Astyanax mexicanus: one gene and its partners. The protein of the gene in region 1 binds, or shares a complex with, the protein of each later gene. Links are inferred from orthologs where the notes say so. Each region holds a gene or a part of one and is shown on either strand. Other genes may lie near its edges.

Evidence for each region.
Region 2: ruvbl1 (region 1) and uxt share a complex: the UniProt entries of both Homo sapiens proteins name them as parts of the PAQosome complex. The link is inferred for Astyanax mexicanus from reciprocal best matches to the Homo sapiens genes RUVBL1 and UXT.
Region 3: the proteins of ruvbl1 (region 1) and actr6 are in contact, whole or in part, in a cryo-EM structure (PDB 6IGM), measured with the Homo sapiens proteins. The link is inferred for Astyanax mexicanus from reciprocal best matches to the Homo sapiens genes RUVBL1 and ACTR6. Residues at the interface, in NP_003698.1 of Homo sapiens: Lys162, Thr163, Ala164, Lys165, Gly166, Thr167, Tyr209; in NP_071941.1 of Homo sapiens: Tyr217, Tyr300, Arg338, Cys339, Leu340, Thr341, Pro342, Thr343.

Annotation. Positions count from the first base shown.
Region 1 is NC_064412.1:16,298,447-16,302,203, reverse strand, and holds the start of ruvbl1 (ruvB-like 1), read left to right. Parts: upstream 1-1,138; 5' UTR 1,139-1,283; coding exon 1,284-1,424; intron 1,425-2,227; coding exon 2,228-2,314; intron 2,315-2,424; coding exon 2,425-2,557; intron 2,558-3,267; coding exon 3,268-3,419; intron 3,420-3,508; coding exon 3,509-3,598; intron 3,599-3,757. Other genes in the region: eefsec (selenocysteine-specific elongation factor), read right to left, coding at 1-238. UniProt on the Homo sapiens protein: Possesses single-stranded DNA-stimulated ATPase and ATP-dependent DNA helicase (3' to 5') activity; hexamerization is thought to be critical for ATP hydrolysis and adjacent subunits in the ring-like structure contribute to the ATPase activity.
Region 2 is NC_064419.1:3,787,606-3,791,362, forward strand, and holds the start of uxt (protein UXT), read right to left. Parts: upstream 2,946-3,757; 5' UTR 2,606-2,945; coding exon 2,523-2,605; intron 1,344-2,522; coding exon 1,262-1,343; intron 137-1,261; coding exon 69-136; intron 1-68. UniProt on the Homo sapiens protein: Involved in gene transcription regulation. Acts in concert with the corepressor URI1 to regulate androgen receptor AR-mediated transcription. Together with URI1, associates with chromatin to the NKX3-1 promoter region.
Region 3 is NC_064417.1:36,535,764-36,539,520, reverse strand, and holds the start of actr6 (actin-related protein 6), read right to left. Parts: upstream 2,392-3,757; 5' UTR 2,231-2,391; coding exon 2,163-2,230; intron 2,056-2,162; coding exon 1,938-2,055; intron 732-1,937; coding exon 663-731; intron 526-662; coding exon 402-525; intron 390-401; exon of another isoform or gene 1-389. Other genes in the region: gtse1 (G2 and S phase-expressed protein 1), read right to left, coding at 3,756-3,757. UniProt on the Homo sapiens protein: Required for formation and/or maintenance of proper nucleolar structure and function. Plays a dual role in the regulation of ribosomal DNA (rDNA) transcription.

The DNA of each region.
Region 1 (3,757 bases):
CGCAGGCCTCTCTAAGGTGGTACGGTAAAGGGACGGTGAAGGCGCTAAAGCCCAGATCCAGGGTGATGCCTCTCTCTTTGGACTGCGGGTTCTTGTCGAAGGCAGCGGTGGAGGCGGTGCTGCTCAGAGCCCTGGCTAGAGACGTCTTCCCGCTGTCCACATGGCCCAGGACACCCACATTAAAGTTCAGAATCTGGGGGAGGAGGCCGTCCCCAGCGTTAGCGCTCGGATCTGCCATGTGTGGAAGAATTAAAGACAGGATCCGAACGAGACACAATAGGGAAGCAGTGGACTTTGATCTAAGATGACTGTGCACTTTCAGCTTAATTCACACCAAAAAAAAGTTGTGCTGCTGAAAAACACAGATCTTGTAAGTTAGCTGGATGCAGTTTAACTCAAGCACCTCTCAGATGTCAAAAACGAGTAATTTCAAACTGAACCAACTCGAATCAACTCCCTCCTATACAGACAGTGCGCCATATCATATCGTTTGACAGATACGCTAACTACACTTCCTGCGTCGCCTAAAAAACACTACCTCCACCTACGGAACATGTCTCAGGGAATGGGACCCAAACGTAGGTAGTGGATAGTGTTAGCTAGCTGACTAGCTAAGCTATATGAGCTGCTGCTGACCTACTGCAAGTAAAGTTATAATATAATACAAGTAAGTAAATAAAATAAAATAGTACCAAAAACAAGATAGCTCTGTTTAGCTACGTATAAATCCACAAGACTGCACTTTTATGCAAAAACATCTTGACTGAGGACTTAGATAAATTCAAACGATGCTAAAACTAAAATATGCTGTAAGACAAAAAACAATGCAGAATCCCCAACATTTATAAAATAATAATAAAAAAATTAAACAAAATTTATATATAACTTAAGTTAACCTGCAGTGAAACATCTTACGTTAGCTAGCTAAAGCACGCAGCGCACAGTTATAGTTAGCTTAGCTTCTGTTTCTAGACGGATCTTTAAACTCGCCCACCAACGGAAAGGGCCAGCTAACGTTCTTCAACGTTAGTTCTTCAACGCTTCTGATGAACATCGGTGTTGACCAATGAGCGAGCAGATCGGAAGACTCTTAACCAATAGCGATAAAGAAAGAAGCTAGACATGTTAGCAGGGGCGGTGACTTCCCGAATCTCCTTGGTTACCCGCATGGAAACGCGGTCCCCCGTGTTTGCAGTCGCGCCGATTTCAACGGCGAAGCAGAAGAGCGCTGCTGGGCACGGAGAGAGCTTCTACTCGAGCTTTGATAATCACAGAAAAGAGCCATGAAGATCGAGGAGGTGAAGAGCACGACGAAGACCCAGCGCATCGCCTCGCACAGCCACGTGAAAGGCCTTGGCTTGGACGACGCCGGCAATGCTAAGCAGACCGCGTCCGGCCTGGTTGGACAGGAGGCCGCCAGAGAGGTAACTAATTAACATGGCTAGGAGAGCTAAGCTAGCTAACCTAACCAACTAATGGGGAATATGTGAGCTGACTTACTTTCTAGCTACCTAAGTAGCTTACTAACTAAAATATCATTTGATTAGGAAAACCGACGACTTGCAATGAACTAGAGCACAGTGTGTGTGTGTGTGTGTGTGTGTGTGTGTGTGTGTGTGTGTGTGTGTGTGTGTGTGTGTGTGAGAATTAGGCTAGCGTGCTAACTAATGTGTGTGACACCTGCGTCTGTAGCTAGTGTAACTAAAGGTGCACGATAATATCGGAACTTTATCGGTATTTTATTCGTTTAGTCAGAATGATTTTTTTTAGTAATGTCGGTATTTTTTTAGGTGTTTTCAGAAATTTAATTAAAGACAAAACTGGTATTTATATGCTCCTATTGTACTCAAAACAAAACTTTAGTCAGGTCTACTGTCCCAGCGTTTTGCTCACTGTAGCCTAGATAACCTAGCTAACATACCTTATGTACTAAATAATTAAATAGCTAAAATTAGGGGAGTGTCATATCGTTTTTTAATATTGTAAACAATATTATACCCTGAAATATTGTGGTAATTAGGGGTGGGTAATATGGCACATCAGGGTATTACCTTTCCTATTATATATCTACGAGAGACAGATTATAGTTAGCTATGTTAATACTTGTGAATTGCTAGTTTATATTTAAATATCTGCAGATTGCAGTATATCTGCTGACAACCTCTTCTTCTGAGAGGCTTACTAAATAACTGCAGCTAAATGTTCCCAATGGTCCTATTTTTTCCAGGCATGCGGCATCATTGTGGAGCTGATTCGTTCCAAAAAGATGGCTGGCCGAGCTGTCTTACTTGCAGGGCCACCTGGAACTGGAAAGGTAGGCAATACAAACCAGTGGCTTTGCATAAAGACCAATGTTGATGCAACTAAGGTTGACGAGTAGTAGTTTAGTGGTAGTGTGTATAATCACCTGTTTATGCCCGTCAGACTGCTCTTGCCCTGGCCATGGCCCAGGAGTTGGGAAATAAGGTGCCATTCTGTCCGATGGTGGGCAGTGAAGTGTATTCATCTGAAATCAAAAAGACGGAAGTATTGATGGAGAACTTCAGAAGGGCTATTGGTGAGTCCCCATAATAATACATCTACTTTCACAAGTTATGCAGAATGCTGGAGAAGAAATGCTCTGAGTGAAAACTTGATGTAGAACTAATAGGAAATATGAGAATACAGTATTATTTGTAAATTGTTTAATACAATGTACTACATAGGTAATAAGTGAATAACACTAAATATGATTAAACTCATTAAAAATGCAGTCTAAAGTGAGTGATAAATGTTGTTTTATGTAAAGCCATTGGGCTTTTATTTTGTAGGCTACAGTTTTCATACCTGACATTTCTGTCCACCCCAGTCACTGAATGGATTTAAGTTTTCAAGAATATTGATACAACCTGCAAATTCAAATAAGAGATTTGGAAATTGTTATGGTAATATTATTTGTGTAAAAAATGCTCCTAACACTTACAGATACAACAATATCTGTCTGTTGATATAACCTGTCATAAGAGAGGAAATGGCGTAAATAATCTTAAAGGGGGAGAGAGGCATGCTGTACGAGGCCATAGAGAGTCCATTATACTGCTGTCAACATGCCCTTGACATTTGCCCTTTGCTTTTGGCTCACTCATATTGAGAGAGAGTTACTGAACACCAGTAGGCAATATGCAGAAAAAAAAATTGGTTACTGTGTTACCAACACACTTTGCTCCAGAACATCCAACTGCCACACCAATATTTTACATTGTTACATTGTGTGTGTGGTCTGTGCAGGTCTGCGAATTAAGGAGACTAAAGAAGTGTATGAAGGTGAGGTGACTGAATTAACGCCATGTGAGACAGAAAATCCAATGGGTGGCTATGGGAAGACTATCAGTCATGTCATCATCGGCCTGAAAACAGGAAAAGGAACTAAACAGCTGAAGGTAAAAATTAAATCTAAAACACATCTTTGTGGTAATGTGAGAGATAATATTTGTGTATATACCATGTGCTCTATTTCTCTGTGCCATAGCTTGATCCTAGTATCTATGAGAGTCTACAGAAGGAGAGGGTGGAGGTTGGTGATGTCATCTATATTGAAGCCAACAGTGGTGCAGTCAAGGTAAGGACACACACAAGCTATTAGTTGTGTTTTTTGCACACTCACAGCACACTCTTGGTGTGTTGATGTATCTTTTAGTCGGTGCAGGTGGGCAGGCAGTCTGGCAAAGGATTAAAGACAAGACTGTATTTCGTAGTGCTGACAGACCTTTCAAGGTCC
Region 2 (3,757 bases), on another chromosome or scaffold:
AGTCAGGCATGGAGATGCACACGGCAGAGAGCGCTGAGAGCGAGAGAAACCAAAGAAACCACACTCACACTTGAGCTTGAACATAGAAATTACAGCCAAGGTCTACATCTGTCTTAAGCTCTTTGCTGTCAGCTTCCTGAAAGGTAAGAAAGGCTACAGAGTCAGAAGTGGTGAGAACATACAGCAATCTGCCTTAATGATAATACAAGTTCTTTGTATTTCACTTAATGTGCATGTTATCAGGTTCACTGGGACTATAGGAGCACTTTGACACTGTTTCTTTTTATACTTTACTATGCCTCAAATTACCCTGTTCTCCAATGTTCAGGACTAGGGATGGGCGATATGGCCCTAAAATAATATCACAATATTTTACAATATCGATACTCTTGGCGATATGACAAAACAAGGAATTAAAAAATAATAATTTTAAGAAAACACTACTGCAACAAAATGAAAATGTAATTTTATTATTGCATACAATATGATATGGCACACCCCTAACTGAGATATATAATGGGAAATGAGCTCAGTGTGATTTTTGAAATTGTTTTTGCTAAAAACAGTTAAAAAAAAAGTACCCTGATGTGATAATTAGGGGTGTGTGATATGGCACAATATTTCAAGATATAATATCGATCATGATATTCAAAACCATTGGCAATATTATTGCGACGATGCAATTTGGCACACCCCAATTCAAGACCATGACAAAGCAGGTAAATGTACCTCAGGTGTGTTCAGGTACATTTCTCGTTTATTGCTATCTTAGCAACAGAAAACACAGGTGTGCCACGAACTAAAAACAACCTAGACAATAGTCATCAGTCAGATGTTCATTGCTATCTTGGCAATGCAGTATGCAGATAGACAGAACCACAGGATTACAGTCTATAATTATTGAACTGCAAAGTGCAAGTGCTCCTTTTTGCTCAGTTTACAAAAGCTATGGAGCAGATACATAATATCAGTAGGTCAGTATCAGCAGAAAATGCATGAATGAATCAGGAAAAAACGAATCTGATCCTGTAACTAAAACCAATCCTGAGAAAAACATGCACAGTGAGGTTGTTAGGTGTGTGTATCTTCCTTTAGGCTATGGGAGTGGTTTTAACACGGTGGCCTACTTTTAGATGCTCATCTTACTGGAATATGTTAATACCGGTATTCTGTTTTTTGGTCATTTTTACATGAGAGTACAGATTTGAATGCAGTTGAGAGGCAGTGAAACTAGAAACAAATAAAATACAATAAAGTGTACCTGAATACTTTTGATTGTATTCTTCAGCTGGAGATACTGTGATATTTTATCATACACTCCATCTCTCTGTTCCAACACTGTCCTAGATAAAACAAGCACAGTTACATTATATATATATAAATATAATGCAGTACAAAACATTAGAATTAAAAAGCATCTTATCTGGCCAGGTGTGAATGGGGAGCATGAGTGTTAAATGTGGGGTTCTCTTATAATGGCAAATGAATATTTAACATGGCACCTCATAATAAAGAACTCTCTGAGGATGTGAGAAACTGAATTGTTGCTCTACACAAAGATGGCCATATGCTAGCATACTAAAACTGAGCTACAGCACAGTGGCCAAGTTCATACAGCGGTTTAACAGGACAGGTTCAAATTTTATATAAGCCATATCCGGATGTTTGCTTAAAAAATGACACATAAGTGCTGCCAGCATTGCTGCAGTGGATGAAGACATTGGAGCCTGTCATTGCTCAGACCATCGGATTCATACTATATTAACTCAGTCTGGATAGCCATCTTCTAAAACTGAAGCAAAAGAAAGCCTACAAACAGTCTGCAGAAGACATGCAATCCAGGAGAGTGCAGTCCACTGATTGATCTATTTTAGGCTTTTATTTATATTATTGTTGATTAATATGGCTTACAGCCAATGAAAACTTCAAATTCAGTCTATAAAATTAGAATAGACCAACTGGTCCTTTTGGCAGAGTGGGCAGCGTGCCAAGTCCTGCTGGATAATGAAATCCGCTGTAAGATCTTCCGGGATAACAGTGCACTGACTTTGAACCTGATGTAACACAGTGGACCAACACCAGCAGATGACATTAAATTAGTTTATTAAAAGTTAATTCATTTAATTTCTTGTTAATTAATTGAATAATGTGTTTGAAAGAATCAGTTGTAAAGTTGTGAAGCGGTAGAATAGGTATACATTGATTAGCCCTATTTGAGTAATGTTCTAATTCATATTATGAGAAGCAAGAACTACTCAATAAAATAAAGACAAATGTTTAAGAAAAATGAAGGTCAGGCAATTTAAAAGGAACAATTTTAAAGAACTTTAAAATTATCTTCAAGTGTAGTCACAAATGTTCTGATGAAACAGTTTTCTCTGTTGTACAGGATAAATAAATAAGAATCCACAAGTTTTCAGCACCAATAAGGTACCAAGGTGCCTGAAACATCTGCACAACACAGTGTGATGTATATAAAGGCTAAATAAACAAATTTCTCATGTCAGTGTACAGCTACTCACTGTAAATCTCTCTTCAGAACGTCACTGATAAAAGCTTCATACTGCAGGACTTTGTCGTCGATGTTGAGATTACCAGAAGTCATCCTGCTAATTTAGTTACAGCTGCAGTTTCCACGTGGCACGGTAAAAAAACAAGCTGGATCTAGAATAACCTCATTAAAACACCGAAATTCAGGTTTTTCTTCTCCTGAGCTGCAGAATGAAGCTGACAGCTGAGAACCTGCTAACAGGCTAGCTAGGCTAGTTAGCTAGCAGTTATTTCAGGACTGACAGGTTAACTAGCTTCATAAAACACACACGCTGAGATATTAACACTTTTCCTGCGAGTAAATATCTAATAATTACTGATCTGCCTCGCGTAATCCTGCGCCATGTGAGAGTAAAGCGGTTGTTTACAAGATACCGGAAATAGCCATGACACGCAGCAGGAAACGAGAGGAACTTAAATTAATTATTATTATATTTTTTTAAAACTGATTTAAAAATTCAGAATATAAATAGAAAATATATGCTACACGTTTTGATTGGTATATTATAATAATAAATAAATACTATTAATAATACTTTTAATAATACAGGTGTTCATATTTAAATAACGTTAATATATTTACTTTATAAAAAAACAAAACGATATTTCCAATTTGTTAGAAATTTTAAACACATTTTAAATAATTTAATAACTAAGAGCTCAGGCTTTATTTATTCAGTTGTTTAAATTGTAGCTTAGCAAATGTATTCACGTTTTCCTTTATGTTTCATACAGAAAATACAAATTATTGTATTATAGAAAAAAATATTTTTGTGTTTAAAGATATACAAAAGTTCATTTTTAAAATAATAATCAGACCCAAATCATTAAGCTTCTTTCGTTACCGTTAGCTTACATTTTTGTTTAGTTTAAATTTTAAAAAATACATAAAACATAACATCATATTAATAGCATATTAATAGCAATTGGTCGCATATTGCTCTGATATTTAAACGATTATCTATATTTCACATCTATTATTATATTTATTTATTTAGAAGATTGAGTCCAAAATGAATGGATGTGAATAGGGCTAACAGCTAAAAACTAAAACTAAAAAAAAAAAAAAAAATAGTTACTATTCACTAATTCTTGACATTCCTTTAATTTTATAAATTGGATTAAATAATTTCTAAAAATGTAAAGAAAATATGCCTGTATGTTTCCTTTTTCTACAGCAAACAGGTTTTGGACAACAGATTCGCTA
Region 3 (3,757 bases), on another chromosome or scaffold:
AGTGAACCTAAAACAGACATACAAACTTCAGCTCCTGCTTATGTCAGATGTTGAAAAGACTAAATTGTTCCACAGAAGTTTTATAAGTTACTCAATATTTGCATTATTTAATCCTATTGTACTTTTACATGTTATGTAAAGGACATATTTACCTTTCTTGAGTCATTAATTTCCCAGCATAACAATATGGTTACTACAGTATGGTTAGCACAGTGTAGTAGACAGTTGCAATGCTCTGCTTTTGAAAGACAATTGCTACAGCTTGCTGTATCATGTTTACAATATCTGTACCGTGATAAAAAAAGTTGCTATTGATAAGACCATAAATGTAAATATGTAAACACCAATTTACTCACCTCTGTCCACTAATAAACTGTACAAAAATATGAGGCTGAACTTACCATTGATTCTTAATGCTGCTTGAAACTGGTACTCTTCAAACAAAATCTCATTCATTGACTCTTGAATTGAGGTGAAGTTGAAGTAGGGCTCTGTTATCACTATGCTGGTGTCAGCAAAATCAACCTGCCAAAATTTACAATTAAACACTGATATCAATATCACAGGTTATGGGTAAACATGTAATTTTTCTCAATTTATAACTGGTTTCATACTACTACAATGTAATGTAACTGTGTTGTACTAGAAAAAAAGGGAGATACCTTAAACATTTCTTTTCCGAACAGATGATCCCACACTTTACGCTGCACATCCCAGTTAACAAGATAACCCTGAAGCAAACAAATATTTCAAAATAAACAGAAGCACTTAATTTACATTTTCTATCCACAAATACTGACACCTTCTCAGACCTTCATGCATTTTTTAGATGTGTATCAAGATCTGAATGTATTTAACCATGAGAGCATTGGTGAGGTGAGATACTTATCCTGAATGATAAATCATGAACATAACTCAAACTAATCCCAAAGTTACTGAATATATTTTTACTATTCCAGCCAAATACTGGGTGGCTCTACTCTTGGCTGTGGACATAGTAATCACATTACATTAGAACAGATGCAAATGCATGTATGTAAAGTACACACTCCAGCGAGTGCATGGATGTGAAAAATTCCACCACCAACTCACCTAACTGAACATCAGCAAGCACTGATTTACCAAACCAGGTGTGGGATAATAAGTATTAATAATAGCGATGCACCAAATATATGGCAACCAAAAATCTTCAGCTGTAAATGGCAAAAAAACACTTTTGGTGTTCAAGTGAATAGATTACACTTCGTTAGTATATCTATTAGGATTTTTGTTTTAAAAAGTTCAGGGGTCAATAAATATTTTGAATTGTAGTTTTGTTATTTCCTTTGAATGGCAATAAAAATATATACATTCAGGAAATTCAATTTCTGGAGCAAATTTATGAAAACTGAGAAAACATGTTTGGTACTCATTTTAGTCCGGTGCATTCCTAATAAGGAGAGTTTAATAAACACAGTGATGAAAATCCACTACCATTTAAAATGATTGTTTTAGTAGTTTAACAGAACAAATATTTATGTACTGCTGTTTAATTTAAATCTTCACAGTTTCCTAAAATTTGTATACAGTACTGTATGTACATATACAGTCAAACGTTTGAACACACCTACTCATTCAATGTTTCTCTTTATTTGTTAATTTATTTTTTTACATTGTATATTAATATTAATGACGTGGAATTAATTAGGAAACAGATTGAATTATGAAGTAATTTGGGATGAGATGGTGATTTGGGATGAGCTGGAGCTTTATAGCGTGAAGCACCTCCAGCTACTTAAAAGAATGTAAAGTAGGAAACATATTTTGGCTTGTGTAACACTTTTTGTTTACAAAACAATTTTGCATGTGTTTCTGTTTAGCTTTAATGTCTTCAATATTGAATTTACAAGGTAGATAATAATAATAAAACAAAGTATGTGGCTGTGTATCTAGCTTACCTTCTGAAATGGTAGAATATAGAAGAGGCCAGATGGATCCTTGATTTCATCCAGCTGATTGGCAGTGTAGGTTTTTAGCCTCAGAGTTTTGGAGCGAAATTGGCAATTAGGAAGAACACTGAGAAAACAAGGAATTAGATATCATTAATTCAGTTTCTAGTGGCCGAGTGTAGTACGTGTTGTGTAGCTAGTTAACTAACAGGTTATTTAACCTAAACCTCCTACCTGACTTTCTCATGGCTGTATCCGATCTTAGCTGTGTAAGCTCCGTTATCCAGGACGAGGGTTGTCATTTTCAGCAGCTGTTATTCAGGGTTAAAGTATTCAAGGCGTGTTTTAATGGAATTAAACTCCTTAAATAAACTCCATTCTCTGCAGTGGGAACTGAGACTGCGCTTCTGCGCCTTTACGCAGTTTAACTGTATTCAGCTCTTGTTCTTCTCCAGTCCAACATTATATCAGCAGCATAACTGCGGCTACTGCCCCCTGCTGCACCGGACATGTAAATATATTGTCTTCATGCTTATTATAAACATACATTCTAAATATTTGGATTTTTTATATTTAGTGAAGTGGATTTAAAAAATCGCCTTTACATTCAAGAGCACATTTCCTTCAAATGTGTATGTGCCTTACAGTATGATGCTAAGCAGAACATTCCCAGAACATATACAGCTCTTGAAAAAATGTTTTGTGTATATGTTTGAGTAAAAGAACATTGTTTTTTTAATTATATGAACTACAGATATCTCTTCCAAATTCCACATAAAAAAATATTGTAATTTAGAGCATTTATTACCAGAAAATGAAAAAAAAAAACAGCTGAAATAACAAAAATATGCAGAGCTTTCAGATCTCAAGTAACGCCAAAAAAAAAAAAGTTTATATTCATAAAATTCAGAAATCAATTTAATAACCTTGGTGGAATAACCAGTTTTCATGGATCTTGGCATGCTCTCCTCCACCAGTCTTACACACTGGTTTTGGATAAATGATTGAGTATATTATCAGGTCATTATCAACCGCTTTATCCATTAAGGGTCGCGGGGGGGTGCTGGAGCCTATCCCAGCAGGCATCGGGCAGAAGGCAGGATACAGTATATATGATTGAGTATATATGATTGATTATATTGCAGAGGTTTTCATTTAGGTAAAAATCAAAGAGACTCGTATTTTTTTAATTTATGGACACTCCCTCATATAATGCATTCAGACACTTTAACAAGTCATCTAATAAATTCACAAATAGTTGGGGGATGATGTGGGGTAGTGATCATACAACATCCAAGACCCTGACTCTTGTCCTAGCAGAAAATATACTTTTACTGAATGACCTCACTGGTTTAAGCTGTAGTAGACAACCCTGAATGATGCAGCAAGTATCTGATACTCAGGCACGGAACCAAAGGTGTATCTGCCTAGTTAAACAACAAGATAAACAATTTGCTACCTGCTTCTGCTTCATCTCTGATTTACTGACCAAACTATAGAATTTTCTTGAAGCAGGAAATACAATTTGGAATATAGGAATCATAGAACATAACACATTTAAACATAAGCACACCAATTAAAGTTAAGATATTTTATTTGTACCTTTTGAGGAAAACAAACAAACAAATATAAACAAACAACATGGACAAGGAAAGTTTTCTTTCATATTAAAACAATCACCTGTGTATGATCAAACATACAGATAAAATCTACATTATTATATCTCTAGGGTCTTATTAGGCACATATGCACTCTCATATCCTCTTTATTAACAGACAGTGTTTCTGATTTGCACTTTTATTTTCCTGGTTTTGTGAACTTGGTCCTTT